3 linked regions of the Ovis aries genome follow. The protein of the gene in region 3 binds, or shares a complex with, the protein of the main gene of each other region. Links are inferred from orthologs where the notes say so. Each region holds a gene or a part of one and is shown on either strand. Other genes may lie near its edges. The genes, in order: TLK2, CDAN1 and ASF1A.

Region 1 (9,970 bases), on a different chromosome or scaffold from region 3:
ATAAACAGTACATGCAAGGGCAGAATTCCACCTACTTTAGAGTCTCCAGAATCACAGAGATGAGACTATCTGTATTTAAGTAGTCAAAAGGGGAGAGAGTAGGGAATATAAACTGTGCTAAGTTCTCACTGAAAACATACGAATACAAGGTAGTCAGTTTCACATTACTGGAAGTGGATTATCTAGTACTTTAAGGAAGAGATCTTAAAAAAAAAAGAAGCAGCGTTCACACGCCAAGTCAATAAGACATGAAGAAGCAGGTTCATAACTCAATTAACCTATCATCTCAGAAATGCTGAGAATGGCTACAGGTAGTCCTAAAAAGTGGCAGCTAGAGTAGAGGAGGAAAGTCAGTTATAGCTTCACAATGCATGTCAGGTTCCTTCCCTCTATTACCCACTCACTGATGATAGAAAACATCAGTCTCTTAAACAAAACCACATGGCACATCCCAAAATACATAACAAATGCTTCTGTTTTACTAGTTATTATACATTAAACATTAAATATAAAATTAATGTGCATAAATGCAATGTGAAAGAAAAATTTTAATTTGCAAACAACCTAAATATAAGCAAAGAGTAACTTAAATACTGCAAGCAATAAACGTGGCGGCATGGCCATTTTCTTTCGCCTAAGTTTTGTGTATCTGATTTGCAGGTGCAAAACACTCAAGGCAACATGACAGAAGATGGACAGTCACCAGGAAGTTCAAAGACTGCAGCTACTTAAAACATCCTGTCCACTAGGAAAGAATCCACAGTGGCACCAACTTTCTTCCTTCTATGGACATCAAACAGTACTGAAAATGTTATGAATAGTTAGGAGAAACTCAAGAGACAGCCATGCGGCTGCACCAGCCCCACTAGATGGCACTGTCACAGGAAAGCCACTCTGCTCTCCCACTTCCAAGGGCTGAAAGCACTCATGATCTCTGCAAAACTGAAAGCTGTCATCAACACAGCGACATCCTCACTGAGAAATGATGACCCATAATGAGGAGTTTCAGGCTTGAAGGAAGCGTCTATCCAAAAGCACCTTTTTTCCCAGTACCATGGCCCCCTCCTCGATCCTATTTCAAATAAGCAGTCTGAGAGAAACAATGGCTTGCATGCATAAGAAGTCCTACAAAATGGAGATTTTCTCTTTTCTTTTCCTAACTACACAAAACTACAGGATAATTACTTGCTTTCCAGCCACGCCCCTGCCAAGTTTCTTTGCTATGGGTAAAAACACTCCTAGTGGTCCAAGAATAACAGATTTATTGTAATCAATATACTTATCGTGACTGGAAACTTCAAAATAACACAATTAATGATACAAAAACATCTCGATAAAAATGAACTTCTTTCTATATATTAAAGCAGAACTCCTATTAAACAGATTAAGTTTTTTGCACCTCAGTTACATGATTTTAGCTGGGCCTGGGCAGCAGAATTCACAATGTTACTCATTCCCATAACTTATGCTCTACCCCATGGAAAGTATACTTGGATACAGCTACCAGGAACCTAAAACCAGAAGGAAAGAAAAGCATTCTAACAAAGCTCAATTAGTTTAAACCGTATACAATTTAAATACAAACTTACTCTTACACAGTGGGTGAGCATTTGAATAGACAGATTTGGATACAAGACTTTTACTGAATTACCAGCAAAAGTCATTATTAGGCAATCAACTGAATCAGAGATCACTTTAACACTCAAATATACTACTCAAGTACAGTTGAAGCTACTTCACCTAGATCAGAGAATTTAGACATGTAGAATTCAGACATGTAACTAACATATAACAACAGTCAGGAGCACAGCTGCTCTAAAGTGCCACCAAAGTCAGTTACTTAATTAAAGAGGCGAAGAAACCAAGAATTACAAAATGTGTAACAAATCCTGTGTTCCTACTAGAGCTCACCACAGGTCTAATACAGCTCCCATCCCAGTTATACTCTATACCACGCTCCCCTCAACAGTAAGGGCTTGGAAGTACTGTACTGAGGTGTCATCCCTAACATCCTGCACAATGCCTAGTACGCAGCAGGTATTCAATATCTATTGAATGAACAAAGACTATCAAGTTATTCCAGCCCACCAAAATTATGACATTCATCAAAGCAGTTTTTCTAACTGAACTCTGACAAACACCTTTTCCTCTAAGAACATGAAACTAAGCATGAGACTAAGATCCAAGGTGCCATGAGAAATAATATTTCTTGGAAAGTACAGGAAGGAGTCAAAGATCAAAAATTCTCTAGTCTCAGGTCCAAGTAAACAACATCTTGGATTGGTGAAGATTTTAAATAAAACATCACAAATATATCTTACATATTGTACTAAAATCATAAATAGGTTTTATACTTTGTTCTAAAGCCCTCCTATCAGAGCAGCGGGGTGAGGCAGCAGTTTTGTAAAGATGCACAGGAAGCCGTAACACTGCCCGTGAACGGGGCCTGATCTTATGCTCCTGGAACAAAAGCAGTGAACAAGAAGGGAAAACAGGAGGAAAGGAAAAGGAGTCTGGGGTACAATCATGAGGAATCTGCTGAACTGCAGATCTGGGGAGGTGACAGAGCAGGGGCATGTTTTTCAAAACTCTACACGTAACCATACAAAAAGCCCAGCGTAAAGAAGCTATGCCAATACTTATTCATTAGCAGTTTTTGTCTGAGTGACTGAGGAGTTTTGACAAAATGTGGCATAGAATCGAGACACATCCTGTTAGTATCCTTGCAATAGACCCACGGGAAATCTCTTCCACATTAGAGGGTAAAAAGAAGTTAATATTTCCATACAGAGTACCTTCAAGACTACTGTTAAATATTTGAGTGGAACAACTGATAGGATTTAAAAGTTCACTGGAACTGTGAGCCAGATCTCCTCCCCTTCGATGCATCTGCATGATCCATCCAGTTTGCTCTTTGTTTTTAAGTGTGTTTCAAGTTGGCTATGAGCAGTGTTCATTATCATCATTTTACTCACCTTACTAACACCAACTCCAGTAAACCTGGCCTCTAATAATTCCTGCCGTCGGGGGTCCAAGCTATGCAATTCTTCCATCATTTCTACTGAAAAAGAAAAAGTAGGTTGTGAGACCCGAAAAGCTAAAACATGAAGAACCAGTTCTTGGATACAACAAAATGCACAGTAACTATTTTGCAGAATATTCATATACAGGTAAACCTCAAATAAATATAGCATACAAGTAATAAACCACAAGGCACTATATCAAATAGTAATACACTTAAAGTTACAAAGTGGCTCAAAAGTCTTCTTCTGAGGGTCACTTATTCTTAACTAGTTCTGATTTGACTTTAACAGCAAAAAAAACCCTCAAAACTTTCATATAATCTCTGTAAAAGCTGAGCAAAGCCCAGCTTACAAAAAAAGAAAATTTCTTCTATCAACCTTTGAATTTAGGTAAGTACTTAAGGATATTTCCTTCCCAAACACACAGGAACTAGTTCTTAAACTAAAAATATGAATCATTAATAATAACTTCAAAATAATACAGCATGAATCAGAAGCTACTAATAACTTAAAATAACGCTATTGTATTACGCCTCCTTTCTCTGAGGAGCATGAAAAAAGGAATTAATTACTTCATTTTAATAGAGAACCCATGGTAAAACCATCAACCTGCATCCACTCAGGAAATTAGTATGGCTCCATAACCACCCCTTTACAAAATCTTTCTCTGCCACTCCCTGGAGCAGTAGGTTGCTCTAGACATCTGCTTTTAGCACTCCTTCCAAGCAGGGAGGGGCAAGAGGACACCATTTTTAAACTCCTTCCACGACCAATTAATGCACAGGCTACTCTCAGCAAACACCTCCATCGTTTGCAAGAAATCATCTCTTGCAGAACGCATTGGAAACCGCCCAAATATTAAAAGTAGAAAAGGTACATATACCATTACCTACAACCCCTTTGAACATATTACTAAATAGCTACTGGAATGATTGGCATGATTTAAAAGTTCACTGAAAACATGAATTAAACATGCCCCTCTGCAATCTAACAACTCCACAATTTTCAGTAACAACCCCTACAAAGCCTCCAGTTTCATTTCCCTTCCTGGATTGAGAGCCTGGGGCAAAGAGGAATGAAAGGGTGGCAAATTAAAGTTTCACCCACACAGACAAGTGCAGGTTAGAGAGGGAATTAGGAAATTCTCAGAAGGGCAGAAAGGTATCTCAGAAAAGAAAAGAGAAAAAGAAAAAAAAAAGAGACTGAGACAGTGTTTCCCTAAGTGGCCTTCGTCGAGTCTCGCCCTGCCCTAATCGAGGCCGGAATGGCAGAAGTTGCAGCCTCTCTTCAAGCCCCAGGGTCTCTCGGCACGTTTCCTAAACCTCCATCCCCAGGCCTGGCCCGGAAAATGACGCCCCAGCGGTTATTCCATTTAATGTCAACTCATGTTAAGGAAAGATCCACTCAGTCTCATTCCAGCGGGGCCTTGGACTGGGATCCTCCCTGTAGCCCACAGCCGGAAAGCAGGACCGATGGGGCCTGGTCCCGGCGCCCCTCGTCTCCCGCCGGCTCCAAACTTTCCCCAACTCCAGGCCCACCTGTCACGGAGGGAGGGCGGGCCAGCTCTCGGGGGCGCCCGGGAGGCTGCCGGGGCCTCCAGCTGCCCGGGTGCCCCCATCTCCCCGCCGGCCGCAAGCCCCACTCCCAGGCCGGGGCCGCCTGGGCCTCTCCCATCTTCGACCCGGCCCCTCGGCGACCCGCAGCCCTCGGGAAGCCCCTCCCGCTTCAGCGCCGGGGAGCTGCGGCCCGGCGCCGGCCCCCGGGTGGGCCCGGGCCGCAGCCTCCTCAGCCGAGAGGGTCGCCCGGACGGTTAATACCTCAGGCCCGGCGCCCTCCCCCGCCCGGGGCTCAGCCTCTCACCTGCCGCCGCCGCTGCCGCCGCCGCTGCCGCCGCCGCCGCTCCACGCTCCTCCCGGGAGGGGCCCCGACCCGACCCGGCTGCGGACCGCTCTGCTCTCCCCCTGGGCAGGCCCGGGGCGGAGCCGGGGCCTCTCCTGAGCGCCGCAACCCCCCGCCCGGGCAGCCGCCGCCGGCGCTGGGCTCCACGAGAGGGCGGGCGGGGGAGGGGGGCCTCGGAGGCCGCAGATCCCCGGGCTCGCGTACAGAGCCAGGCGCCTGACGCGGGCCCGGGCCCGGGCGGCCGCGGGGGGCGCGGGACCGGTCTCCTGGCGCCGGACAAAGGCCAAGGGAGGCGCAGAAGGGCCCAGGCCCGGCCGGGAGGTGGGGGCCCGCTCGGCTAGGGGCCACTCGGGTGCGGCGCGGAAGGCGGGGGGGTCGGAACCGCTGGAGCCCAGGACCCGCCTCCGGCCCCTTAATCCGGATCGGTTCGGTCCGGATTAGTAGTGATCGGTGTAAACACACTAGTGAAACCGCGTGTTTCCTCGCGAGATTTGCACGGTTGGGAGGCAGGGGGGGTCCTGGGGGGGTGGGGGAAGTGCCGACAGTGGGGGAGGAGGGGGAGGGGACGAGGAAGGTGGGGGGGTCCCCGCTGCCCCGGCGCCCCGCCTCCTCCAATCAGCGGCCGGCCTGCCGGGCAGGGGTTAACCAGGGGACCCCGCGCAGGCGAAGGAGGCCGCCGCCTCGCCGGGCGGCTGAGGGCGGGCTGACGGGCGGCGCCGACGGACGCACAGCGACGCGAGGGGAGGTCTGACCCGGCTGGGCCGGAGTCCCGGAGACCCCGCAGCCGTCTTCGTAAAATCGGCCCCCGCCCCGCGGGACCGGCCCCAGCCGAGCGGTTGGGCCGGCGCCCTGGGTCGCGGACCAACGGTGGAGGGGCCTCGCTGCCTGGGCCGGGCGCTTCCCGGATCCGCCTCGCCGAACCCTGCGCCCGCCTAATCCCTGATCTCCACGAGTTTGGGTGAGAAGTGAGGTTGCTCTGCCCAGGATGGATTTTAGAGGAAGAAAGCCGTGAGCCGACGAACCCCGCCCGAACTTCCCCGGAGACTCCCAGTTAGTGAGTTGGCTGTGTCCCCCCGTGTTGGCTAGCTCCCACGCCCCGCCACGCTCCAAACTCACCGTCCCGCTCCCCAAATCCACGTTTGCGCCGTGGAAAGCGGACAGAGGTTCACCTCCACGTACCTGGTTGGCAGGGCGTCTTTAGGGTCAAGTGGTGCTCTGGGATCAAGGCTGAGCCCCCACCCCCACCACAGTGTTGCCCTTCGGAAGGCGGGAGGTGGGGGGGCGCTGCCCCAAAGGGACTCTATCGGTGCGCCCTGGGGGAGGTTCCATTTCAACCTTTGATTAAAAACAAGGCTCTCCTGGGTACTTAGGGGGCTCTAAGAATAAGTGCTAGAATGGGGAAAACAGGCCTGCCCCTCTCTACCGAGGAATGGGAAATAGACCAGGATGCAATAGCTCTTTCAGCTAGGCGGCTTCCTGCACAGAAGGCTCCCATTCTGATCGCCCAGCACCAGAGGAAAAATCACATTCTCCACCGACATCTGAGCCAGGACGCTGACTTCTACGCAGATACCCAACTTTTTATTTTCCTCTGATGCTTCCTTGATCAGATGTATGAAGATGTATGACAACGAGTGGCTTGGGGAAAATTCATAAAATGAGCAAGAGCCTTGAACTTTTCCAGGGGGTAGGCAAGTATTTCAGATGATGTTTCTGCCTTTCTTGCTTCCTTACTCTTAATTCTTCCTGTATTCATGGAACACAGACCTGCTGAAAGGGTAAAGGATGGCAGTTTACTTATTGTTAGTTGTTCAGCCTTCCAAATCCTTGGGCACATTCAAGCACTGTAGAAAAAAATCCATTCAGCCAAGAGTCACCTTGTTTCAAATCCCAGCCAGGTTGGGCCTTGCACACATATTTCGATAGATAACAGTGTTTGAAAGGGAGGGGGAGAGCAAGTTCCAGGCAGAGGGTAGGAAAAAGGGCAAGGTAAGGACTATCAAGGGGGCAGGAGAGCCAAGAGTATGTTCCTCTACAACTCAAAAGAGAAAACCACCTGAGACAAGTTCTGTCCTTACAGTGAATGATCGAAAAAGTAAGTGCTTAAAATGACACTGGAACATCTCAGAAGAGAAGAGTTTAAGAGAAAGAACACTGGACAGAGCTGGAGCTGAGCTCTGGCCAGCTCCTCCACAGACAAACTGCTTGGGCCCGTTACCTAACCTTTCAAGTGTCGCCAACCTCATCTATGAAGGAGTTTGGGCCAGAGGATTCCCAGAGTCCTTTCCAGGTCTAAAGGGCTATGATTCCATTTTTTGAGGTAACTATGAAAAAAATAAAACTGAAACTAGTCATTGAAATTCAGGAAAAGACAAGATTTTGTTTCACTTTGCCTAGTGTGTTTTTCCCTGCATGTCAGAACACTGACACTATCATAGGTCTGTTCATAGCCCACCCCATATCTAACACTCATCCCGAGAGGAATTGCTCATAGGAATTTCATGAATTTGCTTACCACAAAAATGGTGTACTTCTGTTTGTTGTTCAGTCACCCAGTCCTGTCCAACTCTTTGCGACCCCGTGGACTATAGCATGCCAAACCTCTCTGTCACTCACCATCTCCATTAAGTTTGCCCACATTCATGTCCATTGCATCAGTGATGCCATCCAGCCATCTCATCCTCTGATACCCTCTTATATGCTTCTGTTTATAAGCATATAAACTACTAGGCTTCCCTAGTAGCTCAGATGGTAAAACATCTGCCTGCAATGCAGGAGACCCGGGTTCGATCCCTGGGTCGGGAAGATCCCCCAAAGAAGGAAATGCAACCCACTCCAGTATCCTTGCCTGGAAAATTCCATGGACAGAGGAGCCTGGCGGGCTACAGTCCCTGGGGTCACAAAGAGTTGGACACAACTGAACAACTAACACACATAAGCATATAAGTGAAAATATCAAATACTAACAATCAGAAAAAAGAAATAATAGATGGATGATTTTGTTGTTGTCCAATGGTTCTCACGATATAATTTAACCTTGAGTTCATGAACCCACTTGTTTAAAGTGTGTTGGCTCACAGAGCAACTTTATGAAACTCAGCTTCTCAAAGGCTGGCAAATGGTGTCCCCATGCAAAAGCCCAATTGCTATCAGAAGGCTCAAACAGGGATTCATCTAGATGTTCCCATTGATCCTGCCTTCAGGGTAGCATATAACAAGTCCTCCAGGTCCATGTTCATAGACACAGAAGGGACAAGGGAGCTGGCGTTCCCTAAGCTGTGTTCTGCAGGTTTCAACAGGTTAAATGCTTTAAAGGGAGTGGATGTACATTGGTCCTCAGGACTCTAGGTTAAAGTTAAGTGGAATCCTTTATTTCAGCACTTCTTAGAACCTAAAGTGTATGATACACACAAGACCATCTCCAGGAGAGGGACTGGGGTATCCACTGGTTTCTAATTTGATTTTTTGAACCACCACCCTGGTATTTTTTTTGGTTGGTTGGTGGTTTCTGATACTGATGGGAGATACTTTGAGAAAGACACTGGAGAAACCTAGTTTAGCCCTTCTTTGCCCTTTTACCTATACCACAACTAATGAATGTCCACAATCTTCTTAAATGCTTTATAATATCCACCATCTTCAGTGAAAAGACTATGGCATGTTTCACCAAGTAGGGGACCCTCACGTGCACCTTTTCTAAAAGGAGCCTGCAAGATGTTGGCTAAGAGGACAAACTCTTGGTCCAGGGCCCTGGTTTTCATCTTGGCCCTGCCTCTTACCAGCTGTGTTGCCTTAGGCAAGATATTTAACTTCTCTAAGCCTCAGTTTCTTTACCCATCAAATGGTGTTAAAACTGCACAAGCCCTGGAGGAGGAAATGGAAACTCCAGTATTCTCCCCTAGAAAATTCCATGGCCAGGAGAGCCTGATAGATCATAGTGCATGTAGAGCTGGACACAGCTGAGCCTGCACACAATTATTGAAAAGTACAACTATTTGGTTCTAATTGAATCAACTCCATAGAAGAGAAAGAAAGTTAAAAAAAAAAAAAAAAGAACATAACACCTCACAGGGCTGTTGGAGGACAAAATGAGATGATGTGTATGCCTGACAGAATAATCCCCGAATACATGGTCCTCAAACCTCATGTTTCTACCAAGGACGTCTACGTTCGTCGTTAGACTGTTTTGGCAGCACACGGTTCAGCTTCAGGAACCAGGCTGCCAATGTGCTGAATCGCTCATGGGGCTGTTTTCTTCATGACAGAAAAAGGACTTGCTAACAGGAAAAATGTCTGTAAAGAAAGCACTACATTTGATGGGGGGAGGGGAGGGCCCAGTAGACAAAAATATAAAAGTCACCTTGTCTGTTTATGTTCTTCTTCCCCTACCCTTGAGGGTTTCTAATGGTGTGAAGAACAAGGGATTTTGTGAAGGCGGTATTCCCACCAGAAATTCTGGAGGGCAGGGCCATGTAGAACGTCAGGGTAGTGGTGGTCGCACAGAACTAGGTTCAAACCCCATTTCTTCACCTCTCAGCTTCTTCATCTGAAAACTGTGGCCTGCACACCTAACCCCATGGGTGGCTCTAATGAAAGTTGAAATAGTGGGACTAGCCTGGTGGTCCAGTGGCTGAGACTCTGTACTATCGATGCAGGGGGCCCAGGTTCGATCCCTGGTCAGGGAACTAGATCCCACATGCCACAGCTAAGAGTTCACACGCCTCAACTGAGACCCAGTGCAGCCAAATAAAAAGGAAAATATTTTTAAAACTAGAGTTGAAATAGTGATAGGAAATGCCTTCTAATTGCGCCTGACATGCAGTAGACACTTGGTCAGTGCTCTCTCCTCCAGACTCCCCAGTTCTAACAAAACAGAACAGCGTCTGGCGGCCAGGCAAGTGATCCACGGAGGAGAGAGACTCGCGCCTCCCGTCTCAGCCTTCACGGGACTTTGTGCCAGCCTCGCCCCGTCTCTGGTTTTCATACCCTTCTCCTGCCCGACTTGCTTCAGAGGCTCTTCCTGGGCAAGTCTCCTTGACACAGTTTAT
Region 2 (9,363 bases), on a different chromosome or scaffold from region 3:
CCAAGACTTGCTTCACCTCACCCCCAATCAGCTGTGTTCCCAGTTCCCAACCCTCAGTCCTAGACACTAGCCCTTGGGGCCATGGGATTCCCTCAGGGTGCAGAAGTCTGCAAGAGGAGCGGGAGATGCTCAGGAAGGAGCGGTATGGCTTTGCTGCTCCTGGGGATGTCAGCTTCCTTTGGGGGGTGGGATTTGCAGGGCTTTTCCCTGTGATTAATTTGTCTCCTGGGAACCCTGGGTCTGTTTCCTGGGCTGTGGACAGGTCTCTAAGGAACCTGAGTGTGGCTGTGGAGGGGAAGCCATGCTGACTGCTCATGACGTTTCTCTTTCCCCGGTAGCTCTAAGCAGCTGCAGCAGTCACCTACTCCTGCCTGTCCCACCCTAGAACCAGGATCTCCTCACCCCAGCCGGACAGGACACCTCACAGCTGAACCCGCTGACCCTACCAGAGTATCTTCCCGCCACCGTCTGGAGCTGGTTGCCCTTGTCTACTCTTCATGCATTGCAGGTGAGTGAGAACAGAGCCCTGGAATGAAGACACTTGTAGAACTACAGGGTAAAAGAATTGAACTGAGCCTTTGTTTTGACTGGCGTTCAATACCCTGGAGTTTCCTTTTTAACCAGAGAACCTGGTACCAAACCTCTTCTTGGAGCTTTTCTTCGTCCTTCAGCTCCTTACTGCCCGGAGGATGGTGGCTGCCAAAGACAGTGACCTTGAACCAACTCCGGGAGCTGTAGGTTGGTGAACAAGCCTCTTTTTGAGAAATGATGTCTGGAAATGAAATTGTTTTTAACCAACAGCTTGGTACTGTCCTTCTAGATTCCCTGGAAAGCCCTCTGTTCCAGAGTGTCCATGATTGTGTCTTCTTTGCAGTGCAGGTTTTGGAACATCAATTTCAGTAAGTTTCCCCCGCTGAGGCATTTGAACCTTATTCACATTATTCACTTGATTCTCTGGCTACTTCGGGGGCATGCTTGTGCTTGACACAGATGTAGTGACCCTAGGCCTTTTCCTACATGTAACCCTTCAGTTTCGTGTCAAAGCTATGAATTTAGCCCTTGAAAGAATCAAACTGCCCCCAGTAGTTTTGGTAGCTGACCTTTGGGTTTATTTACTGTTTCTGCTTTGCTATCATTAGCTGCTCCATAGGGTCTCGTTTCCTTTCCCTTTATCGTCTTTAATCCTTGGCGCATGACTTTTCTTTTTTTTATGTACCTGCTCTGTGCTCCAGGTAACACACTGTGCTGTGCAGATGCCAGCTGCCTATTTGCAGTCTGTCCCATTCTCAGTCATGTGTGCTCTTATCCCTGTACAGCGTTCTCTCCCACCTGGACAAAGGGACATTGAAGCTGTTGGCTGAGAATGAGCGATTACTGTGTTTCTCACCGGCTCTGCAAGGTCGCCTCCGAGCTGCCTATGAGGGCAGTGTCGCCAAGGTAGTGACCCCATCTTAGACATCTTCTAGCCTGGATCTGACCCTTCCTAGTCTCATAATCCAGGCGGCCCAGCTCACACCACTGTAGTGTCATGCGGCCTAAAACTCTGGACTAGAATATGGGGATGAAGTTTTCTGAGCGTGAACTCTGCTTTCAGTCCCTAATGTCACTGTTTTAGGTCTCTCTGGCGATGCCACCTTCTGCTCAAGCTGTCTCCTTTCAGCCAGAAACTGACAATCGTGCTAACTTCTCCAGTGACCGAGCCTTTCATACTTTCAAAAAACAGAGGTGATAAGAAAAGGGGACTCTGGGGGAGGGGATGAAGCAGCATTTTCTCCGGGATAGGCAGCCTATGTTGTTTTCATAGAAACTAGATGTTTGGCACTAACGGGTGTAGTTTAGCACCACCAGGCCCTTCCTAGCAAACATCTTAAGGGCCACTTAGCCTCATTCTCTTTCACACCCATGGACTCGCACCTCTGACAGTAGCAGCTTTCTCGCAGTGTAATGACTTTGGCCACAGGGTTCTCAGATGAGAGTGCCAGATTAGCCTTAACTGCCCACAGAAGCAAGTGAAGCATGTGGTGTACTACTGTCGGGTCTGTGGGATTATCACATAGAGAACCTTGGAGAGGATAAGCAATGGAGCTGTGAATGGTCCTGTCTACAGTTCTGAGCTAGAGAAGGCACTCCTGAGAATGAGTTAAGCCAACTGTGCTTCAGTTGATCAGACATCTTATGTGTCTGCCAGGGATGTGTTTTACGAGGTACTTCGAGAGTGGGAAGATCGCCATGAGGAGCCTGGCTGGGATTTTGAGAAGGGCTTGGGCAGCAGGATCAGGTATGTGCTCATACACTGATCACTTTTTCCTGCTTCCAGCAGTGAGCAACTTAGTGGTGTTTGGGTAACTGATTAGAGAAAGGCTTCTCTCCCCACCCCGAACTCCTTCCAGCACAAAGCTGTTTTCTGTCTTCCTTAATCTCTTAGTTACTGCCACCTCTGCCTCTACTCAAAAGGGATTTATTTCTCCAACTCCTTCTACTCAGAAATCATTTATACTTGCTCTGTGATTGCAAATGATTGATAAAGTGGAACACTCTTATTCCAGGTTGCGTGAGTTTTTGCCTGTCACTGGCTTAGACCCTTTCCAACCTCTATTTTCTCCATCATCTAATCTGACAATACAAGATAACTTTGTGTAGCTGGATAACTAGGATACAGAAAGAATATCCTCTTGTCTGGTGATCTCCCATCCACGTTGGTCATGAAGCTTACTGGCAGTCAGTGTAGACTGAAGAGGAGAAGGGTGGTCTCATTTCATGTTTGGTTAAGTGTAAGGTTAAGGGCTTCCCTGGGGGCTCAGATGGTAAAGAACCTGCCTGCAATGCAGGAGACCCAGATTCTGTCTCGGGGTCAGGAAGATCCCCTGGAGAAGGAAATGGCAACCCATTCCAGTATTCTTGCCTGGGAGATCCCAATGGACAGAGGAGCCTGGCAGGCTACAGCTCATGGGGTGGCAAAGAGTCGGACATGACTGAGCGACTGACAGTTTCAGTAAGTGTCTCTCTAGCCTTGAGGGATCTTGGTGCTAAGGAAAGTATCCTTTACCTTTTCCCATATCCTTGTGCCAGCCAGCTCTGGTAGAAGGCTGCTCAAGCCCCTGGTAGAGGGCTGAAAGTCTCAAGGATTGGCTTGTTCTCTCAGATCTTTCTCCCCCTCTTCCTCCCATAACACTCCATCCCTGCCTCTTATTCCTCAGAGCCATGATGGGTCAACTCTCTGCGGCCTGCAGCCACAGCCATTTTGTTCGACTTTTCCAGAAACAACTTCTCCAGGTAATTGCTCCAGCAGGAGATCTGTCTCCAGTGGACAGTATGTATTATAGGTGCCAAGGAATGGCTGGCACTTTGGGACAGGACAGGAGAACAGGCAGGTCCTTGGCTGAAGAGTAAACAAGAGTTCTGCTCTTCCTCTGTGGGCCCCCTCACACACCCAGCTCTCCTGGCCCTCCTTCAGTCCCTCCCTGCTTTCTTGCCCTTGCTTTGTGGTGTGGTAGAAAGAGTGCAAGGTTAGGTCTGGTTTCAAATCCTCGTGACCCTATGCAGATGTTGAATCTTAAAATTTCAGTTTCTTCACCTGTAAAAATAAGAATATAACACAGACCTCAAAAAATACATCTATGGCACACAATATAGGGTGGGCACCCCGTATTGTTCACTGCTTCCTCCTCATTTTCTTCACCCCTTCTTTCCAGAAAAACTCACTGGTTTATCAATTTCTCTCCTCCTCCCCCTGCCCCAGATGTGTCAGAGTCCTGGTGGTGCTGGGGGCACTGTCTTGGGTGAGGCTCCGGATGTGTTAAATATGCTTGGAGCTGACAAGCTGGGGCGGTTGCGGCGCCTACAGGAACGGCTTGTGGCCCCTCAGAGCAGTGGGGGCCCCTGCCCACCCCCTACCTTCCCAGGCTGTCAGGGCTTCTTCAGGGACTTCATCTTGAGTGCCAGCAGGTAAAGGTCCCCTGTCTTGCCGAGAGTGGGGGAAGAGGCCTGAAAAAGAGGTTTGTGTTCCCAGAAGGGCAAGAGTTTGCTCTTCTTGGCCTGGAATGTCAGTGGGTGGGACTGGGGGATGCCCAGCCTCCTTCTAACCCACACTTCCTGCTTCCATTTCCCTTCTCACTCTCTCACCTATGAAGGTAAACTCCTTGTTCCTTGACCTCCTGTGTCTGCCCTACTGAGCCTTTCTGTCTGGAACACCACCTCTATTATCCTTCCTGCACCTCTTCCAGTACCTTTTTTCCCCCTTCCCTTCATAGCTTCCAGTTTAATCAGCATCTCATGGATAGTCTGAGTTTGAAGATCCGAGAACTCAACAGCCTCGCCCTTCCTCAGCCTGAGCCTAGTGATGAGGATGGGGAGTCAGACGTGGACTGGCAGGTTAGAAAGCAGAAGAAAGGAGGCTTTGCTTTAGAGGGGAAAGGATATTTTCAAGAAGTCTGTAACAGATGTGGTTTTGTTCTAGAAGCCTAATGCTTAGGACCTCTTACTTCTTGATGGCCTGCAGGGTGAACGGAGGCAGTTTGCTGTGGTGCTGCTCAGCCTAAGGCTTCTGGCCAAATTCTTGGGCTTTGTCGCTTTCCTGCCATACCGTGGGCCTGAACCACCCCCGACCCGTGAGCTCCAGGACTCCATTCTGTCCCTGAGGAGCCAGGTGAATGGGGGCGCTGGTAAGGAGGGAGCTGGGAGGAGCCGCATGGCAATGGCGTTAGAAGGCTTTCCCCAGCCCCTGACTGACCCTGGCCCTCCCAGGTGCCCCCAGTCCTGGACGTGCGAGCTCTGCTGCAGCAGGGGCTGCGGGCACGCCGAGCAGTGCTCACAGTGCCCTGGCTGGTGGAGTTCCTTTCTCTTGCTGACCACATTGTCCCCATGCTGGACTATTACCGCAGCATCTTCACTCTCCTGCTGCACCTGCATCGGTGAGTCAAGAGAGGGCAAGGCTTGAGAAAAGGGTGCAGGGAGAATGTTGTTGAGACTGCTGCTTTTTGAAGAGGGCCAAGCAGCTTGTGCTTCCTGTGTGCTTCCATAGCTATAGCTGACCCTCAGGGGAAAGGCCAGGCCTTGATCCACAAGGACAGACAGTGGGCAGTTATTTGCACTTTGATTGGCCCTTTTCTGTTCCTACTGTGGCCGAGCTAAGAGTGAGTACAGGTCTGGGAGAGGTGATGAGACATGGCTGCCTACACAACAGCAGTCCCTTTTAGGTCTCCTTTTGAGAATCACCTTCCCAGTGATAGCTTTTTTTTTTTTTTTAACTCCATTCCATTTCTCTCATTGCACAGATTCCACTCACACCCTCATTTACCTTTTAGGAGCTTGGTCTTATCAAAGGAAAGTGAAGGGGAGATGTGTTTCCTGAACAAGCTGTTGCTGCTTGCTGTCCTAGGCTGGCTTTTCCAGGTTGGTGGAATGAGGGTCCAGGTTGGGGAAAGGCGGTATGACTTCTGTGGCTGGAAATGGGCAAAGGGAAAGTGTAGGACTCTGACAGAGAGCGGGACCAGACGCTAAAGGCTCAGAGGAGGAAAGATGGGGTTGCCATAGAGGAAGGTGGCTTTGAACCTGGTTGTCTAAACCCTGGAACCATGAAGTTGGAGGTGTGATGAATCCCTAAAGTGCTGGCTGGCACTCCCCTAATCTTTTGCCAGATTCCCACAGTCCCTGAGGACCTATTCTTTCTGGAAGAGGGTCAGTTGGATGTCTTTGAGGTGGACACAGTAGCCTCAGAGCATGGCTTGGTAAGTATTGGGGTCCAGCCAGAGCCATGGGAACCACAAGAGTAAAGGAGGTAGCCTGCCTGTCAGCGGGCCCAGAAACACAAGCCAGAATAGAGGCTGAAGTCTCACGTAATTCTCTAACCCGACCGCCCCATTTCTGGGAGGAAGGGAAGCTTCCCTTCCGCAAACTGACCTGTTGTCTCCCGCAGGACAGCATGCCTGTGGTGGACCAGCAGCTGCTCTACACTTGCTGCCCTTATATTGGTGAGGATACTCTTCCCCAAGGGTCCTTGGTCCTTGGCCTGCCCCTTCATGAGTACCCAAAATGCATCCCATGGGCCCAGCACCCTCGTACTTTGTTTTGTGCTTAGGCGCTCCCTGATGCCTCGTTCTGTCTATTCCACAAATGCTTAGTCTGGATGCTTGGGAGGGTGGGACAGTTCTGGAACTAAGCACATGGGCTTCTCTGATGCAGGAGAGCTCCGCAAACTGCTCGCTTCATGGGTGTCAGGCAGCAGTGGAAGGAGTGGGGGCCTCGTCAGGAAAATCACCCCCACCACCACCACGGGCCTGGGAGCCCAGCCTCCCCAGACCACACAGGGGCTGCAGGTAAGGGGCAGGGTGGAAGCAAGGGCCACCTCATGGGTAAGGGAAAGGGAGCCCTTGCCTGCACTGCTCCCTCCTCCCCACAGGCACAGCTGGCCCAAGCCTTTTTCCACAACCAGCCGCCCTCCCTGCGCAGGACTGTGGAGTTCGTGGCAGAGAGAATTGGTTCTAACTGTGTCAAGCATATCAAGTGAGTCTGAATTGAGGGGGTTGGGAATGAAGGTGTTGCAGGTCCCAGGCTCATTTCCTTATCCTTTTCCCCCTTTTAACACCTTGTTGCCAAACTGAGGAAAGTCAGCTGAGGGGTGGGGACAGGGGCCCAGTGGGATGGGGAAGGCTGAAATGGCTAACATTCTTTCAAGTTAGTTCTGACCTGGTTTGCTTGAATTTGCAGCCCCTTTCCAATTCAGCCTTTCCAACTACCTCAAAATCTTGCTGTTCCTGCTGCAGGGCCACGCTGGTGGCAGAGCTGGTGCGCCAGGCAGAGTCGCTTCTTCAAGAGCAGCTGGTGACCCAGGGACAGGAAGGAGGCGATCCAGCCCAGCTGTTGGAGATCTTGTGTTCCCAGCTGTGCCCTCACGGGGCCCAGGCGCTGACCCAGGGGCGGGAGTAAGATGCCAGTCTGTTGGGATCCTCTCATCTCCACTCTGCTCTTAGCCTTTCCTTTCCTGTCCTTTTTTTTCTTATATTGTTTATTCCATGTCTTCTCCCACCCTGCTTTTGTCATTCTATTTTTGCCTGCTCTGTAGGCTCTTATCTTGGTTTTTAGAGGTTTAAGGACCCAAGTTTAGAGTCGAATTGGAAAGGCATGTGGTTGGGTGTCCAATCTCCTGGCATCTGGGCCAGAGAGCTGAGCATGCCCTCCCCTGTGGCAGAGCTCTCCCAGCTCAGGGAGTTGGTGCACTCAGGGACCCAGCTGATGTCTCAAGACATCACTGACCTCTGTCTCCTTTCAGGTTCTGCCAAAAGAAGAGCCCAGGTGCCGTGAGGGCACTGCTTCCTGAGGAGACTCCGGCAGCCGTACGTAGGAAGTAGTCCTGGGGTGGTGGGCTGGGCTGGTGGGAGAGCAGTGCTGTGGGGCTGTGTGTGTCAACATGCACATGAGGTGGTGGGCGGGCCAGTCTTGGACTTGGGCATTCACCACTGTCCTAACTTGCCCCTGACTCAAAACTACTTCTGTGTCACAGGTTCTAAGCAGTGCAGAGAACATTGCTGTGAGCCTCGCAACAGAGAAAGCCTGTGCATGGTTGTCAGCCAACATCACAGGTAAGGTCCAGGGAAGGGGAGTAACTGACCAAGTTTTTCGAGTGGACTGGCAGGAAGTTGGAGGCCACTTGGGGGAAGACAGGACTCAGGGCCAGTTGGCAACAGGGAAGGGCAGGGGTTGGCATGGTGAGCCTATGCAGGGCTGCTTTGGTGACTCTTCTCTGTCCTCCCTCTGACTTGCAGCACTGATCAGAAGGGAGGTGAAAGCGGCCGTGAGTCGCACGCTTCGCGCCCAGGGTCCTGAGCCAGCTGCCCGGGGGGAGCGGAGGGGCTGCTCCCGTGCCTGTGAGCACCATGCTCCCCTCCCCTCCCACCTCATCTCCGAGATAAAAGTACACAGCTCCCTACTCCCTTCGGCTCCCCTCCTCCTGCTCCCTGCTCTTTTCCTAGTTGCCCTTCTTTCTTCCTCAGCTCCAGTATTTGTGTAGCAGCTTTCTGTGTTGTCCAGCTAGTTTCCATTTTGTTAACTGAATGGAGTTAGGCAGGGCTAAATGGAATTGAATGGTTTTAGTAATTGCTTTTCTCTGACTTTTGTACTTGAATCACCCAAAAGGGTAAAAGGGAAGAGGGTAGATGTGAAAATTGTTGACTGAGTACATGGTACATAGATGATATCGGGAGTGGAGTAGGGAATGGCTATCTAGTGCAGTAGGAAAGTTCTAAGGAACAGTCATCCCAGTATTGGGACAGTATTTCAGAAACACTCTCCTATGTGGGAGATGATGCTTGTTTGGTTACAGGCAGTAAGAATAATCTATCAGTGCTCTTAATTTGATAAAAAGAATTTATACTGTCTAGAACAGGAATCAGTGAACAATTCGTGGGCCAAATCCAACCTGCTGCTTGTTTTTGTAAATAAAATTTTATTGGCACATGGCCGCTTTCATTCATTTACAAATGGATTGGAGCTGTTTTCATGCTCTGCCGCAGAATTGGAGTGGCTGGGGCAGGGACCTAAACTAGTAACTGGCCCAGATCTGGGGTAGTAGTGTTGTAATAATGATTGAAACTAGGGACAAAAGAGGACTGACTCAAGTTCTAGAGTATATAAGACGGAGAAGGAAACTCTCAGCAGCCGTTAGCTACTGGTTTTCAATACACAGATGATTTCTGTCCTGAGGCCTCGACTCTCCTGAGAAAATGAATGGAGAATCATGAGGGACAGAAAATACCGCATGTACGTGATAGGACATAAATGCTTTCAGAACTGGCTTGGTACGGCATCTCGAGCTCTCTGGCAGCACACTGCCCCTTGGCTTACCTATTCCATCTGTTCCCTCTGTCCACTTGGTTGCTTCTCCCAGCTGTGCTGTCCTGACCTGCCCTGCCCAAGTCCCAAGTCTAAGGGCACCTTGGCCCATCACTTCACCCTAGAGCCCTGTCTTCCTTTCTGCCTCTCTCCACTGGCTGATCCCCATCCCAAGCCACATTCTCTGTGGCCTCCTTGGCCCTGGCCTGGCCTGAAGCCTTACTCTGCGTCCACCCTTCCTCTCTGCAGGACGTGCTCTCCTTGGCTGTGGGGCCCCGGGACCCTGAGGAGGGAGTTGCCCCTGAGTATCTGGAGCAGCTCCTAGGCCAGCTGGGCCAGATGCTGCGGTGCCGCCAGGTGAGACATGACATGATGCCCTTCTTCCGTATCCTTGTCTGGTGCCTGGTAATCAGAGCTGCACTGGCCCAGGGCTGCTGCTTGAATTATGGTGCTAATGTCCAGGGTCTCCTGTTTTTCCCCCCCAGTTCCTGTGCCCACCGGCTGAGCAGCATCTGGCAAAGTGCTCTGTGGAGTTAG
Region 3 (9,841 bases):
AGGGTTAAAAACCAAAATATTATTTCATATTCAGTAATTACAAGATGACATCAAAGACCCTTTGAATGTCCACTTACACCATTTATTGGCTGCTAAAATTGGCTTTTCATACCAGAAAATCCAGAAATGCACCTAAGTGCTCCTTATAAAATTCGTACATTTCATACCAGAGTGTCTCACAATGCTGTTATGCGAAATACTGGTTCCTGGGCAGGGCTTCTCACCCATGAAACAACATGGCCAAAAGCGTGGGAAATGCTACAACCGTCTCTTGAGGATTTGCAAAGCACACTGGCAGAGCAAGGGGGTCTGAGAAATCCTTCAGTAAAGAACACCAGTATTGTTAATCCAGTGTTTCCTACATTTATTTGGCTAAGGAATCCCTCTCCCTTTTCTGTATGTCATCATTCAACAACCTGACTTCCCTGGTGGCTCAGACGGTAAAGCATCTGTCTACAATGTGGGAGACCTGGGTTCGATCCCTGGGTCGGGAAGTTCCCTGGAGAAGGAAATGGCAACCCACTCCAGTACTCTTGCCTAGAAAATCCCATGGACGGAGGAGCCTGGTGTCCATGGGGTCGCAAAGAGTCGGTACACGACTGAGCAACTTCACTTCACTTCAAACCCACTTTGGAAGGGCTAACCCATATTATGCATAGATCCAGATCAAAGAGCTCCAAAGTGGAAAAATCACTATTTGCAAACTTCTCCTGTGGCTCAGAAGCCCCTTAGGGCTTCAACTCAACTGCTAAGGTTCACAGTGGGGTTTCTCCCTCATGGCACCCCTTCCTGTCATCCATTCTTTACATTGGGAAGAGGAAACAAAGGTTCCTTATACCACTTGATATGTCAAAGTATATACTGTGGGAACAGGCATGAGGAACAAGAAAGAAAGAAACACAACCCAAGGCACTCCATGTAATTCAGTTGTTGTATGTAATTCAGTCTTTCCTGAGCACCCTTTACAGTGTGCTCTGTGAGAAGAACCTAGAGATGAGCACAATGACTGCTCTTTGCAAGAGGCCTCCTCATTAGTAGGGGGAGGAACACCATTCTACAAATACAAATTATCTGAGACCTCCTGGTCCTCTTAGGTTGTTTAGCACTGTGTGGCCTGACTCCTGGATCCACTCCACAAAGTCTACGCCAGACTCAGGGATGGGGGGCGGTGATGCTTCTGGGTCACCTGTGGAGAATCTAATGCCATCATGTGTTGTCATTCTTGTATAACTTTGAAGCTCGTTTTGTTCCTTCAACAGGTAACAGGAATAGGCGAGGCACTGCTCATTCATAGTGATTATAAACTGCAGTTCAGTGAAGTAAGAGATCCTTGAGGTTTCTTCTTCCTCTTACTGTGTCATGCTTCTGTCCCAGACCTTGGCCACTTTATCTTCAGTTCCTAGTACATTTCTAGATGCAGGGTCCCACATCTGACATCTCGTGAGATTATCTATTTGCTGATGAAGATTAAGAGAGGGAACAAGCAGTATGAGTATCTAGTCAGAAGGGACAGCAAGTACTAAGACCAGATGGGCAGGCACATGCTTGAGAAAAAGCAAAGCCACTGGGGCAACAGCAGAATGAGCAAAAGAGAAAGCAGCTGACTGGGAGATTTGGAGGGGAGAGGTGTAGCCAGAGGATGCAGGGCTTGGAAGTCACCGTGAGGATTTGTGGCTTTATCATGAAGAGGCATGCGAAGCCACTGGAATGCTGAGTAGAGGAGCAACATGGCCTGATTTTCATTTTGTGTGTGAGCGTTAGTCGCTCAGTCATGTCTTAACTTTTTGTGACCCCCATGGACTGTAGCCCACCAGGCTCCTCTGTCCATGGGATTTTCCAGGCAAGAATATTGGAGTGGGTGACTTTCATTTTAGGAGGATCATTTTAGTTGCTGTGTTTAGTATAGACTGTAAGATGGCAAAGGAAGAAACAGGAGGATAGTTCAGTTGAGGCAGGAAATTATGGTGTCTTGGACCACATGTAGCCATAGAGGGGAGAAGTAGTAACACTGTGGATATATCCTGAAGGTCGAGCCAGCAAGAGCCACTTATTTTTCTGGGGGCAGGGAAGGGAAACCATCAGGAGTTCCAGGGATGAAGAAGGTAATGAATAAGTGGAGATCATAAGTCTGGTAAAAATTTAGAAACTGTCCATATGTGAAACCTTGAAAATAGGTGGGATTCCAAGCGAGTGAGCCCAGGGAGCTCTCCAAAGTTAAGAAGTCAGGGAGATAGGATCAATTAAAGTTACCCAATTAGTGGCCAGTGAAGCAGGTAACCCAAAAGTCAAGTGGAGAAATGGTTTTAAGGAGAAAGGGGTATGGAAACTACTCAACTAGCCAAGTAAAGAGAAGCCTGGGATTTGTCACACAGAGGTTTCCATAATTGTTTGTTCATTTCATAAGTATCTGTACTACTATGGATTGTGATCTTGCCTTAATTGGTATAAGCTGGCATTTGTGGTCTGGTGCAGGAATGTGGTTATAACTTATAAACATCCCTTTATAAAATACCTGGGCATTGGTCTTGCCACCTCACACCTGTTATTCAAAACCTCAACAGCTTCGTAGGTATCACATGGGATTAATTATACATGTTACACAAGTAAAGCTGAGACTCTCGATAGGTTAAGTAATATGCCCAAATTCACACAGCTAGTAAATGGAAGAATCAAAATCCAAGCTATGTCTCTGTGACTCCAAAGCCTGGGCTCTTTCCAAAAATCTGAGATAAATTCTTTCCTTTTTAGCTCTCAAATCAACAGTGAAATAAAGGAATTTAACTGCGGGAGGTGGGAAGGCATGGCTGAGGGCAGAGGCCGAGGGGTAGATAATCTAGCCTTAAGGAGTATAGGCTGTAACTCAGGGTACCTTAATTTTTATGCTATGGATGCTTGCTATAGCTACTGAGTTTAAAACACTCAATACTTATTTATAAATCAGCATCAGTTGTTTTGTTCTTAATCTTTTTTTGAACCCAGCTTCATTTCCTTGCCCCCTGTATTTGAAACAAGAAGGGACAGGATGGAATGCTTTACACAGGTGATAGTTTGGAGTAGTTTACTCACTTATTTAAAAAGTTAACTGTTTCATTTAATCATGGTAACTTCAGTCTGCAGGTGTCTCCATTTGAGGTGGGAGTGAGGGAAGTCACCAAGTAAATTTCAAGCTAATTACACTATTTGGGAAGACCTGTGATCTAGGGGAAAGTATGTAGTATTTGTGAATTAGTACAAACCTGAGGTTTTAAAGTATGAAGCTTCATTCAGTTATGTTTTAAGTATGTATTCAACTGACAGCTCTAAGTATTGATCAACATTTTTTAAAAAGGCTCCATTCAGTAAAGAAGCAGAGAAATCAGCAGTCCACAGAAGGTATAACAAAGTCAGCAGTAAAGTCAATGAAAATGTGTACAGGCTTGGTGACCATCAGACCAAACACACCCAAGGTCTCCTATCTCCTGGACTTAACAGGAGAGCCTCTCCTTACATCTGTGGATTGCTGTCCTACCCCTGTATAGGTCTTACAGTAGATTTCAACTAAATTCTCTTAAGTACTCAGACTTTTTCTGAAACAAAGCTACAGGGCAGCTTTTAAAGGAAAGTCAAAATATGTGAGGGCTATTGACAATTTAAAGTATGAAAAATGATGGCCAAGCTCTGGAACTTGAAACAAAATTATACAGTGAAAATTTCTCATTGGACTATTCTATATTTCACTTCCAAGAACAAATATTTTAAAGAACTGTAGCAATGGCACCCCACTCCAGTACTCCTGCCTGGAAAATCCCATGGATGGAAGAGCCTGGTTGGCTGCAGTCCACGGGGTCACTAAGAGTTAGACATGACTGAGTGACTTCACTTTCACTTTTCACTTTCATGCACTGGAGAAGGAAATGGCAACCCACTCCAGTGTTCTTGCCTGGAGAATCCCAGGGACGGGGGAGCCTGGTGGGCTGCCGTCTATGGGGTCACACAGAGTTGGACACGACTGAAGTGACTTAGTAGCAGCAGCATAAAAGATGGGACTATAAGAAGTCTTTACTAAGTAAACTCTATTTCCTTAATCCACACAGCCTCTAGGTGGAGTACATAAGCATGGCACCTTTTTGAAAGATTCCTTTGCAGCTTCAGTATGACTCAGCTTAAACTCCTAAAAAGTACTAAATAAATGCCCAGTATAAGTACCTGGGAAGTGAGGTAGACAAGTCAAAGTAAGGTGTATTCCTGACATCAGTACTGTAAAAATTGATAGGATTCAGCTTGGTTCTGAAAAGATCCCATTACAAACAGAACACATCAATGGCAGGTTTCAGCCATCCATTGTCAAAGCCCTGTAACAACATCCTGAATCATCTAACTTCCTTGTTGAGAACTCGCTCCTAAAATGGAAGATATCACTTGAGAAATACCAGTAATTTCAAGAAGTTCTAATGCCTAAAACACTGTAGTATAAATTGGAAGGGACTCATTTATTGTATTTCTCTTGCATTTGTCCATTTTTATATGCAGTTGATAGTAAAACCAAAAAAATGTCTAGTGGGCATGAAAATGGGCCTAGTGGCTGAAATGCTTATGGCAGTACTTTAGTAACCAAATAGTTTCAAAGTTCGGTAATAAGGAAAACCCCCTTTAATTTTTATTAGCAACAGCCCATTTAAGAATTAGTTTAATAAATGAATTGTCTTTCAAAATGTGCCTACTTTCGTATGTGCATATGTGCTTTATATTTGTAGTAAAACTACAGTGTATGGAACAGCACATACTAAAGTGGTAATTATGGTTACTTTTGAGTGACATGTTGGCGGAAGGTATTGAGTACAGAGGAGTGTTACTTTATATATGTATGAACAACTTTTAAAAAGTTTATTACAATGAGCATATGTTGGTTTTTGTAATTGAAATAGTTTACACACTACCTAAAATACATTATACAGGGATTAAAGGATAATTTTTAAAGTGAAAATGCTTTACATGCCTTGATTAGCATATAATTTAAGATGAATTTTGCTAAACATAATTGTAAGTTCAAAAAAAGCCTGTCCCCTATTTAGCTGTAAAATTACCATCGATGAAGTTAAACTTTTTTTTCCCCTTGAAATTTTGAAAATGGAGCACTGGATGGTTTTAATAAAATCGGAAAGACCTTGGCAAATTTTAGCTTTCTGAATTTCTTACCGCACATGCTATATGTCTTTCTGAGGACCTTAAAACGTACTTAGAAAAAAAAAATTAAATTTTGCATTGCCATCAGGACTTTATTTCCTAGCCCACTTTTGTGTTTTATGTTCAGGGTATTTGGATGTGGACTTGCTGTAATTAGATTTCAACACGTTCTTGAAGGAAGTCTTTCAGACTACTTAGAAGCCAGTGATCAAGTCCTGGAAATTATTTAAATATTTTACTTATTTCTGCTCTCAGGTTAAATGTAACTTGCTAGCTTAGCAATATGTTTCTTCCTGAGAGAGAGAAGATTAGATTTCAGTCACCAAGGATGAGGAGCCCACGTTGCTCGGGGCGAGCCTGCGCGCCAGCATCCCCGGGCGCCCCGAGCATCCTGGGTGCCGGCTGGGGAGCGCCGGCCCGGGAGCACCCGCGGCCCCCGGAGAGCGCCGGCCCGTGGCGCCGAGGGGCCGAGCCTGCGCCCGCCTCCCCCACTGGTTGGTCCACGGAACCAGAAATCAGCGCGAGGACAGCCTCGCTCCCCTCCCCGAAGCGGCCGGGCATGGCCACCCCGGAGAGTCCGGTAACTCCAGCGTGAGCGCTAAAAATGGACGTGCCTCTTGCTCGGGGGCAGGAAGGTGGGCAGGCGGGGCGCCGCGCTCGTCACCCGCGGAGAGGAGGCGTCGTGACGCCGGGGTCGGTGGCCCAATTCTCTACTCTCGGTAAGATGGCTCCGCTGCGAACTCGCCGGCGCCGACCACACACATGCCTCTGCCTTCCCACCTCCTCGCCGGGGCCGCGGAGGCCGTTGGGTGCCCGGGGCCAGCCCGGCGCGACCCCCGGCCGGCGCCGCGGGCGCGAGTGCGGGTCTCGCGAAGCGCCCGCCCGCCAGACAAAGCTGACAACATGGCTACCTCCGCTCGAACAAGTTCCTCGCAAGTTGAGCCGCGGCAGGCGCCCCGGCGGCGGCCGAACGCCGCGCGCGCCTGGCCGGCCGTCGTCCATCAACTTCAAGTTTCCCTCCGCAAAGCCGAGCCCGCAGCCCGCTCGGCGCCGAGCCCCGGCCGCCCGCGTGAGGCCGGGCCCGGGAAACTTTCAACGTCTGCAGCCCGCAACTGACAGCCCGGCGGCGGGCGGGCGCCCGACTCACCTTCAGACAGGTCCTCGATGCACTCGAAGGTGATCTCGAACTGGAATGGGTTGTAGAAGGGAGAAGGGTTATCCAGCACCACTACATTGTTCACCTGAACCTTTGCCATATTTTGAAAAAAACACAAACAATGGGGACGGGGGGCTCGTTGCGGCACAATAAAGTCCAGCGCGCGGCCGCTCGGGAGAGCGCAGACCCCCGCCCCGGCGCCGGCCCGACGTCGTGCAGCGGCGACTTGAGAAACTTTTTTTTCCTCTTTTTATTTACACGGGAACACTCCACAGTGTTTTGCAGCTTTCCTATTTCACTAAACTACAGCCCATTCTGCTCTGATAACTAGCAGCGTTGCCCGCGATTGGCTGCACCCGAGCTCTGACCCTCCTCCTCCAGCGAGGGCCTCCGCGGCGAGCAAGATGGGCTCCCGCTCCCGGAATGGACTCGGAAACTTTAACTGCGGCTCCACCTGCTGGTGTGGATTAGGACAAAGGCGGAGAACAAAGTGAGTGGAATACGGGCTGGGAGGCCCGCGCGGAGGCCGCCGGCGGCAGCGGCGGCGGCGGCGGCGGGGGGAGGGGCGGCGCAGGCCCCGCCCCCGGCCCGGCGGCTCCCGCGCCTCACGTCGGGCGTGGCCGCAGCGGGGCGGGGTCGAGGGAGGCGTGGCCACGGCGAGGCGGCAGGAGGCGTGGCCACGGCGGGAAGGCGTGCTCGCCGTGGGCACGGCGACGGGAGGGCGCGATCCTGGCGACACCCGCCTCTGGGGTTTGTGTAACGGGTTTGTTCTGTGTCTCCCCCACTCCCCCTTCTGACTCTTCACATTAGTCCGACGGCTGTGTCGGCTCTCTACTGAATTTAGGAGATGCGAATCCGTTGTCTACACTAGGTTAGGTTCAGTTGTCTGTGTACTGGGTAATATTTGGGTTAGAGGGAAGGTTGGTTGCAGGGGAAGTAAATTGCATTTTATAGACTGATGTCAGCTCAAAAGGAGCAAAGCCATTTTGGAAATCTAGTTCTTGGCCAATCTCTACGTTTGGGCACGACAGCGCCGTTAGTTAAGTAGATACAAAATGAAGGGCGAGGAAACGCTTTTCCACCCACACTTTGTGGAATAGGTAGTATTTGGGCTGCACCAGGGTCGTCTTTCTCCCGTTCCAGTCTGGAAAGTCTAGAATAAAAAGATGACTTGAGGTTGGATCACTTATACCCGGTTTCTCCTGTTCGGAGGACACAGCAGGAACATAAAAAGGAGAAAATGCAAGTATCAGAAGACCGTAAAGACAACAGATACAAGCAGAAAAGGCAAAAGGCGAGTAGAGACCACGAAAGCATACCAAGACGTGCAATTTTCCAAAAAGTCATGACCTAAACCGTTAGTAAGTAAAAATGTATGGCACCACGAGCAAGTTCAGAGGAATCTTTACTTGATTATTCGACATTCAGCGTCAGTTTGTTCTTGACTACCTTTGTAGGAAAGGGAGAGCTTGTAATACATTTTGTGTAAGGTTGTTGAGCTGTTTCTATTTTCTAAATAAGAGCAATATAAAGGGATTTTTTTCCCTGCTGCATAAACCATCATTTTTCAGGTATTTTGAATGAAACCACTTGGTTAATTAAATTCAGAGAAAGTTATTTAAGTGTCATCTATGCTGAAAGTTTTCTCTTAGTATGGTGCTGAGAATTTTTCAGTTAACATTCTTTGGACACTGTTCATTGCAGGTTGCTTTTAATGAGACTTCTGCATCTGATGGTCTTTTGAAAGTTAATAAGAGACAGCTAGGGAGGCCTGGCATGCTGCAGTCCATGAAGTCACAAAGAGTCACACAACTTAGCCATAGAACAACAGCAATGGGACAGTTAATCCCAGGCCTCCCACATTTAGGGAAACTACTCAGGGTGAGGATCCCATTGTATCATGGATGGATTAGCAAATACCACGATCTACTGGAAGGGGTTTCCTCAAGCCCAGGTATTTGTACAAATTAGAGTTTAACAGTCATACTGTGGGGACAGGTGCAAATTACGTTGGCTGATAAACTGTATTCTCTGTTCATTGTTATTAGTGCTGGGCCTAAGGCTGCCTCAGATGAAGTGTAAGTTGTAAGACACACAGAACATAGGCGATAGCCATTTGAAGCATAAAACAAGGTTCTCTTGAGACTGGGATATATGCAGTTTCCTCATTATTGCAGGCATCGTTATGAGGAGATTGAAATCCATTTGCTTTATAAAAATGACTTTAAAAGCTTGGTAAAAATCAAGTGCGCTTTTAATCTGCTCGTGTTCTAAGTCGCTTTAGTCATGTCTGACTCTTTGCGACCCTGTGGATTGTAGCCTGCCAGGCTCCTCTGTCCACTGCTCATAGGTGATGTCATTGTGAAGTGTGTAAGATTTGTTCTCAGCATCAAGACTGAGATTTACCTGGATAGTACTACTGGGTTGGCCGAGAAGTTTGTTGGAGTTTTTCCGTAAGGTGTTACGGAAAAATCCAAAAACTTTTTGGCCAACCCAATATTTCTGGCTTATTTTCTTTAAACTCTTCATTTATCATGTCATATATAAGAGTATTTAAGGGGCGGGGGAAGCCCGCCCTAATAGCTCATTGGAAGCCTCAAGAATTGGCTCCAGGCCTTTACTGTTGCCTTTCTTATCTTAACTCTTACTGTTACTGCTCCTCAAAAGTATTAAAGAGCCTTTGGGTACTCGCTCCAGTAGTTTCCTCATCAATGATAATACCTTCCAGGAAGACCACAGGGATTTCCAGATGTGCCCTTGTGTACTTCTGATTAAATGGCATGCCTTAAGGGGGAAAGACTGTAAAAGCATTATTCTGGTTTCAGAGACAGTCTGTAAGATTTGTTGCTGAACAACTTTTTGGTGACTCTCAAACAGTTAACCACATTGCTGCAGATGGGTTGCCATGAATGCTGTCGTATGTGAAGTACCCAGGGGGACCCACATGACACTTAGAGGGCTACATGGAATGTAATCCTCAAATCACTTCTCTCTTTATAGCCTGCTTGGGGGAAGGGTGGCTGAAAAAGGTTGCTTTGGCTCTAAAACGAACAAAGACTAAGTTAATGCCTAGGACAGAGATAAATGAACCTAGTTAGCTATTGTCATGGGCTGAATTATGCTGTTCTCCTTGACCCCAAATTCATATGTATGCCCTCAGTATCTCAGACTGACTGTAGTTGCTGGCAGGGCCTTAAAAGAGGTGTTTAAGTTAAAGTGAGTCCCTTGGAGTGGGCCCTAATCCATTCTAACTAGCTTCTTTATATGAGGAGGAAGTTTGGACATAAAAAGAGACGCCAAGGGCACTCATGCACAGAAGAAAGACCGCTTGAGGACTCAAGAAAGTGGCCATTTGTAGGTCAAATGAAACCAACCTTGCTGACATCTGATCTTTTACTTTTAACCTTCAGAACAGAACTGTGAAAAAACAGGTTTCTATTATTTAAGCCACCCAGTCTGGCAGCCCTAACAATCTATGTATGTAATCCGCTTGTTGTTCATTTATCAAGGGCGTTCTATGGA

Evidence for each region.
Region 1: the proteins of ASF1A (region 3) and TLK2 are in contact, whole or in part, in a crystal structure (PDB 7LO0), measured with the Homo sapiens proteins. The link is inferred for Ovis aries from reciprocal best matches to the Homo sapiens genes ASF1A and TLK2. Residues at the interface, in NP_054753.1 of Homo sapiens: Val45, Ala48, Glu49, Glu51, Asp54, Asp88, Val92, Thr93, Val94, Leu96, Arg108, Gly110, Tyr111, Tyr112, Arg145, Thr147, Phe149; in NP_001271262.1 of Homo sapiens: Arg11, Arg12, Gln13, Leu15, Leu16, Glu17, Arg19, Phe20, Thr21, Gly22, Val23.
Region 2: the proteins of ASF1A (region 3) and CDAN1 are in contact, whole or in part, in a cryo-EM structure (PDB 9CVC), measured with the Homo sapiens proteins. The link is inferred for Ovis aries from reciprocal best matches to the Homo sapiens genes ASF1A and CDAN1. Residues at the interface, in NP_054753.1 of Homo sapiens: Gln5, Val6, Asn7, Asn8, Val9, Val10, Val11, Leu12, Asp13, Pro15, Asn20, Pro21, Phe28, Asp37, Val45, Ser47, Ala48, Glu49, Ser50, Glu51, Glu52, Asp54, Asp58, Ser59, Val60, Leu61, Val62, Gly63, Pro64, Val65; in NP_612486.2 of Homo sapiens: Arg195, Arg196, Ile197, Asn198, Thr200, Val202, Lys390, Leu391, His470, Glu471, Glu472, Pro473, Gly474, Trp475, Asp476, Lys538, Arg541, Arg544, Leu545, Gln546, Arg548, Leu549, Met550, Ala551, Pro552, Gln553, Ser554, Ser555, Arg806, Lys807.

What each region holds. Positions count from the first base shown.
Region 1 is NC_056064.1:46,639,243-46,649,212, reverse strand, and holds the start of TLK2 (serine/threonine-protein kinase tousled-like 2), read right to left. Parts: upstream 4,809-9,970; 5' UTR 4,698-4,808; coding exon 4,562-4,697; intron 3,065-4,561; exon of another isoform or gene 3,062-3,064; coding exon 2,976-3,061; intron 1-2,975. UniProt on the Homo sapiens protein: Serine/threonine-protein kinase involved in the process of chromatin assembly and probably also DNA replication, transcription, repair, and chromosome segregation. Phosphorylates the chromatin assembly factors ASF1A and ASF1B.
Region 2 is NC_056060.1:36,247,292-36,256,654, reverse strand, and holds part of CDAN1 (codanin-1), read left to right. Parts: coding exon 1-142; intron 143-338; coding exon 339-508; intron 509-624; coding exon 625-738; intron 739-820; coding exon 821-899; intron 900-1,316; coding exon 1,317-1,437; intron 1,438-1,615; coding exon 1,616-1,725; intron 1,726-2,188; coding exon 2,189-2,278; intron 2,279-3,197; coding exon 3,198-3,273; intron 3,274-3,739; coding exon 3,740-3,945; intron 3,946-4,250; coding exon 4,251-4,371; intron 4,372-4,498; coding exon 4,499-4,645; intron 4,646-4,743; coding exon 4,744-4,910; intron 4,911-5,303; coding exon 5,304-5,391; intron 5,392-5,636; coding exon 5,637-5,726; intron 5,727-5,914; coding exon 5,915-5,969; intron 5,970-6,180; coding exon 6,181-6,314; intron 6,315-6,397; coding exon 6,398-6,501; intron 6,502-6,761; coding exon 6,762-6,920; intron 6,921-7,267; coding exon 7,268-7,331; intron 7,332-7,498; coding exon 7,499-7,577; intron 7,578-7,760; and 6 more. UniProt on the Homo sapiens protein: May act as a negative regulator of ASF1 in chromatin assembly.
Region 3 is NC_056061.1:19,400,891-19,410,731, forward strand, and holds the start of ASF1A (histone chaperone ASF1A), read right to left. Parts: upstream 6,650-9,841; 5' UTR 6,420-6,649; coding exon 6,311-6,419; intron 5,153-6,310; exon of another isoform or gene 1-5,152. UniProt on the Homo sapiens protein: Histone chaperone that facilitates histone deposition and histone exchange and removal during nucleosome assembly and disassembly.